Linked DNA regions of Schizosaccharomyces pombe. The protein of the gene in region 2 interacts with the protein of the main gene of each other region in a biochemical or structural test. Each region holds a gene or a part of one and is shown on either strand. Other genes may lie near its edges.

What was found.
Region 1: the proteins of tef5 (region 2) and tma19 form a complex in vitro, tested with the Schizosaccharomyces pombe proteins (one study listed by BioGRID).

Annotation. Positions count from the first base shown.
Region 1 is NC_003424.3:3,808,831-3,812,024, reverse strand, and holds tma19 (translationally-controlled tumor protein), read left to right. Parts: upstream 1-1,977; 5' UTR 1,978-1,990; coding exon 1,991-2,497; 3' UTR 2,498-2,680; downstream 2,681-3,194. Other genes in the region: SPOM_SPAC1F12.04C (uncharacterized protein), read left to right, coding at 384-959. UniProt on the Schizosaccharomyces pombe protein: Involved in calcium binding and microtubule stabilization. May be a guanine nucleotide-free chaperone (GFC).
Region 2 is NC_003421.2:1,731,048-1,734,347, reverse strand, and holds tef5 (translation elongation factor EF-1 beta subunit, guanyl-nucleotide exchange factor (eEF1B)), read right to left. Parts: upstream 1,598-3,300; 5' UTR 1,575-1,597; coding exon 1,495-1,574; exon of another isoform or gene 1,354-1,494; intron 1,248-1,353; coding exon 683-1,247; 3' UTR 501-682; downstream 1-500. Other genes in the region: ribonucleoprotein complex protein Utp502, read right to left, coding at 2,197-2,919.

The DNA of each region.
Region 1 (3,194 bases), on a different chromosome or scaffold from region 2:
TCGACGTGATAACTGGAGAAAGTTATCATATCTTATCATTTGTAATTCTAAAAGTAAAATCGATCAACTCATAAAATAACATTTCACTTTGCTGCACTGTAGATTTTTCTTATCAAATCTATTGGTGTACTAAACAGACTAGCTAACGTTTGCTGATCCGATCGACTATAGCAGCACACTCACTCTCTATACCATAAGACGTTGCCGAACCGACATCTATCGTCATTCAAATAATCTTTGGATTTGGTAATTTTAGTCGTTTACATACGCTACTTAGTATTTTTTTGGATTTTACGCTTTTCTACTAAAGTATACGAAAATTAGACTACCTTTCGTGAACAATATAATTGACCAAATCTTAGAGCTGAAATTTTTTGAGAAATATGTCTTATATGCATTCTTTAAACCTGATGCTGCAAAATCCCAGCGGAATTGACAAAATTGCTGCCATTCTTGTCAACGTTGCGAGGTTGGATCCAGCATCTTCGAAATCAACTGCTCAACTGGTTTCTATGCTAAATGAATTTCGATGTATTTTACGTCTTCCTGGTCTCTACAAATTAATCGTAAATTTTCGTAAAGATTCTTCTCCTGAAACTTACATGAGTAACGCAATCAATATTGGATACTATGTCACAGAAGGATTGGCATTCTTAGGCGGCAAACAGATTATTTCCATATCAAAACCGTTGGAAGACAAATTATGGCTTTGGTCTTCTAGATTTTGGCTTCTCGATACTTTATTGACCATTTACCAGCTTTTGCGTGAAAAAACAGAAGACGAAAAGGAGCATCAGTTAGACTTAGCTTCAAACTTGGCTAGCCTTCCTTTGTGTATTCACTGGTCTGTAGAAAATGGAGCTGGTTTACACAAACACCAAATTGGAGTTCTTGGTCTTTTCAGCGCAATTGTACAAACTAGAAAACTAATCCTCTCTTTGCACAATAAAAGAGCTTAGTTACGAATGAGCTTTTTAAATTTAAATAGAAGTTACTTTTTTCATGTAATTCTATTCGTGCTCAACTATTTTTCGTTTTCTCGAATGTCTATGTGAGTAAAGTAGTAAACAAAAGTGGTAACAGTCGTCTTGGTTTTTTCAGCAAAAATCGAAATATGCCATTCTAAATGAAGGGACTGAATCGGTTTAAAGCTTGAAAGGTTTTAGAAATGAAGTCGATTTTAATCGTTAATCCATTCCATTAAAGCGTTTTAAATTTTGGGATATTGATCGAAAATTTAATCAACGGAAAACATTAAGTTACTCTTTGTTTGTCACCAAAATGTACCTTGTCATTTTTTTCTAATTGAACTGAATATCTTTATTAACGAGTGTTTTTAATGGCCCTGCAATTTCAAATTGAGGATGTACGATATCATACTTTTAAGTATATCATATATAAACGTTAAGGAATTATTATCAACTATAATGCACTACTTTTTTAGGTTTCTTCTGAAGCTCAGTACTGTTGAGAATGTTCTAATTACGACTCAAGAATTGACGGATAATAGCTCGAATAATAAATTTGAGGCGACATAAATGGTTACAAGTTGATTAAAGAACATAGAGATTAATACACATACTGTTAAATATGGTTCAATTGTTGAATTCATTTGGACTTTAATTCCAGCTTTAATCTTAATTTTACACGCATCATAATGGTTTCACTCAAAAAATCAGATTCAGTAATATAAAACAATTTACTACTGACTGAGTACAACGATATTTTCATCTAAAAAAAAATCTGAAAATATAAAGAATATTGTTATTTAAAAGAAAGGAGAACAGACTACGACAAATTGAAAAAAATGAAGGAATTGGTAAACAAAATGTATCTATCGAAAACAACGCTGTACTACGTAAAGTGAATACTGTTCGTAACCGCATTCCATACGGATGGCTAGAATCCAGTAACCCTGCCCTAAACTGTGACTGCTTTATCTCATTAAACCTGCGAGAAGTCAAATTATGAGCTACCATCTGCAATCACCATGTTGTTGTACAAGGACGTTATTTCTGGAGACGAACTCGTTTCTGACGCCTACGACTTGAAGGAGGTAGACGATATTGTCTACGAGGCTGATTGCCAAATGGTCACTGTCAAGCAAGGTGGTGATGTTGACATTGGTGCCAACCCTTCTGCCGAGGATGCTGAGGAGAATGCTGAAGAGGGTACTGAGACTGTAAACAATCTTGTTTACTCTTTCCGTTTAAGCCCTACTTCTTTTGACAAGAAGTCCTATATGTCTTACATCAAGGGTTACATGAAGGCTATCAAGGCTCGTCTTCAAGAAAGCAACCCCGAGCGTGTTCCTGTTTTCGAGAAGAATGCCATTGGATTCGTCAAGAAGATTTTGGCTAACTTCAAGGACTACGACTTTTACATTGGTGAGAGCATGGATCCCGACGCAATGGTTGTCTTAATGAACTACCGTGAGGATGGTATTACTCCCTACATGATCTTCTTCAAGGACGGTCTTGTTTCTGAGAAGTTCTAAATGCAAATTTGGGTTCTTATAAGGGAGTTTCTAACTGGGAACATGATATCATGTCTAAATTTTATAGTTTTGTGAATTAGTTTTCACAAAATTTCATTAGGATTAGAACAGGGGTTTTTGTTCTGATAATAATTAATTATGCTAGCTTATAATCATGTTCAAATTGAAATTAGTGTTTTTTTATCGATTTTGTATTTGGTTGAATGGAAGATTGAGGTATCGATGTTTTAAAACGTGTGTGCTAAAATTCATGAATCTATTTATATATTAACAGGCCGAAATAATTTAGTAAGTAAGGATATGGTTTGAAATTTGGTATTTTACCATTAATTTAGTGTATTTTTTTGCTTTTTATCGAAGTTGATAATTCAAGTCCTTTACGAGGAATAGCCAAACTTTTGTTATGGCGACACTAGACGACCCGGTAGCCATTGAAACTTTGTTACAGTCGAAACTATAGTTTACTGTTAGTACTAAAGATTTGGGAAATTTTTGCTCGACGATGTTATTTTTGTAGCGGACGACTATTGGATTAAATTTATGCTTAATTGTTAAGCCTTTTAATCAATCTTATCATTGAGTTAATAGACTAGTTGCATTTAATTTTGTCAATGTATATTGTTACGTTTAAATAGTAAACTATATAAGCAGTTTAAATCAACGAGTTTAGCTACAATATTCCCCTAAGTGAAATATA
Region 2 (3,300 bases):
TACTTAAATTCTTTTTCTCATCTACTGTTTAATGTATTCTTAACGTTGTTAACTGAATCATATTAACTTATGTTCTATATGTTGCTAGTTGTTTTATTCATTTTAGTAATACATTTTCAAAGTTATTTTTCTTCATATACATTTCATCGTAAAGAGTATTTTCTAAATAATACCCAATTTTGAGAAGTGTAAAACAATTGTCGAAATAGTAAAAATATGAGTTGATCTACGCAGGACTGTTGCAAAGAACCGCAGCATAAAAAAATGGTATTGGATCATCCAAATTAAACAGATTGTTTCACTTACTGCCCATACATTACAGTCATCAATCGTAAATACCCGACTGGGCTTTAGAGACGTAATTTCAGTATTCATGATTGATGCAAAAAAAATAACTTGTCATACATTTCTATGTCAATTACCATTGCTTGAATTGCATAAAATACACCGTTCGAACCCCATATTTCTTAATTATACAGATTTACACGCTTACAACACGATTGAGGTAAAAAAATCGTACTTTATGAAACAATCGATAGATATAAACCAAAAACAAATTTAATTATTTGCTTTCCCATATCCACACATTCCCCTCTAACATTAGAATATAGAGGAGAAGATCCTTTTGTAATTCCTAAGGACCTCCCTGATAAACGGAAGAACGCTTTAGTTGTAAAACAACTTACAACTTGGACATAGCGGCGATATCGGTAGATTGGACGTAATCTTCGAAACCCTCAAGCTCCTCTTGAAGAGCTTCCAAGGAAACCTTGTCGTCCTCAACAACCAAGTTAATTTGGAACTTGTTGACACCGAAACCAACGGGAACAAGTTTGGAAAGACCCCAAACAAGACCGTCCATTTGAATGCTACGAACGGCCTTCTCCAATTCGTCCATAGGGGTTTCATCATCCCAAGGCTTAACATCCAAGGTGACAAGAGACTTGTGAACGGCCTTGGGTTTAGCAGCCTTCTTCTTGTTGTATTCGGCAACACGCTCGGCCTTAATGCGCTCAGCTTCAGGATCCTCCTCTTCGTCAGAGCCAAAGAGATCGATCTCATCTTCTTCAGCGGCAGCAGCACCCTCAGGACCATAGGCAGAAACCTCCTTGGCGGTACCAGGAAGAGTGGCAAGGTCATAAGTGGCAATTTGCTTGTACCAACGAGCACCGTTGGGGTACTTGGCAGTATCAGGAGCAACGCCAACAGCCTTAAAGACTACAGCATCAGCTTGGCTAGGCTCATATCTATAAAACGTTAGAAAGGATTTGGTAATTAAAAAACATCAAGCTCAGTGAAAAGATACAAACAAAGCATTTTCACGTTTTTTGTTAAAAGACGGCTATCGTGTCTAATTGAGAGGGCTTTAAAAAATAGTCTTTGCACTTGTAGATATGCCATAGGGAACTTTTAACAAAGGAAAAAAAATACGATTTGTGATCAAATGGTATTTCACTATTATTTTGATGCATTTTCCGCACAAAAATGACTTACCCTTCAATGAAAGACTTGTCAAGCAAGAAGTCGTTAAGTTGCTTAAGACCAGCGTCAGAGGTGAGATCAGAAAAACCCATTTTTAAAGTAGTTGGTTGTTGGCAGAAAATTTTAGAGTAGTTTGTCAAGAGTTATGGAGGTTTTACTTATGTTAATAAATTAATATTATTTCAATTTTTTTGTTAATATATACAGCACTACACTAATTGATATTGGATACAATGAAAAAAATATTGCGCTATTACAAAATATCAAAAATTGTCTTAACATTTGATATTCGAGAAGATGAAAAGAAATGTAGAACTATAAATTTGTTGAGCAAACCAACAAATGGCTTCATGATTAAATTATGGGCATACTTTCGAATGAACACGCTAAATATACGATACGACTGCAGGTTAGTCACACAATCTACAAATACTTACAAACTTGGTTTGTTTATATACATGTATGGTGTATCCATATTATTTATGTATAGATTAAAACTAAGTAAAAACAATTTCCGAATTCCAACACGTACCCATAAAACGATAAAGCGTCATTCTCATGGCACCAAATATTAATATCCAAGGAACCAATAAAATATAAAGGAAAAAAAGTAGAGCTTTGTAAATTGATCAAGACACTCTATTTATTATGATCAAAAGAAAACAGAAGTTATGCAAAAGGAATGATTTTTTTCTTACAGAGGTATTCCCGATTTTACCGAGATTTGCGACTAGTTTTTCTTGGGCTTTCGGGGACAACAAATTTAGGTAGAATTTGTTTTTCCACCTCTTGTTCCTCTTCTTCAGAAAGCATTTCATCTTCCGGGATGACAAAGTCATGATCAATGTGACTTTTTCTAGGTGATAATTCTGCATTTGGCGACAAAGAAGCTTCCAAATTGCTTTCATCAAACGCATCGGCATTTGCTTCCAAATCATTGTCCATGTCATCATTTTCTGCTTCATCAACTACCTCTATATCGTAGCCTGCTTCATCCACATCCTCATCGATGTAATCGTTTTCCTCCTCTTCTTCTCCATCTTCACTCGAAAAATCAAGTCGACGTTGCCTCATCTCTTCCTGAGATAAAACCATATTTAATTTTCCGGACAAAGAAAAAATTTTAGTCATTAAATGAGCACTTTGTACAAGCTTTTCATGTAACTGAACAAGTGAATCCTGCAAATCCATGACGGTGGTCAAATATCCACCATGTGTAACAATAATCCAATGCAACCAAATCGCAAGGGATGGCTGCATATTTATCAACATGGCTGGGATTAAAGTTCTAGCTAAATCAGCCGCAATAGTACCATCCATATTGCGAACAGTGTTGGATACAACACCAACATCAGAGCAATTCAAGCATTGCTCCAGCAAATCTTTCGAATCTGCATTTTCTTCAAATTTGATAATATTACCGGTTGTGGCAGCCATGGTTGCCTTTCTACCGCAATTTTACCTCCAACTGGTGGTGGGTTGAGGATAGAAATTTGGTGAATACAAACTGTGCACTACTCTCAAAATTTTACTCTCGTACAATTCGAACTTCGCTACTTTAGCAATATTCCAATAATTTGATAAATGAAGAAATTATAGATTACACTTTGTTAAGCCATATTAAACACATGTACAAAAAAGAACAAGACTAATCTAATAATGTATAAAGGGAATTTGTATTATACAGCGACCTATCGGGTGTTAAAAAGAAAAGACGAAAGAGTGACATGAAAAAAATCTCGCTTGACAAACAGACATCTCAAACAGGGTTTATAAATGGCTATATTACAGCTAGAAACCTTCCAAAAAAAAAAAGGA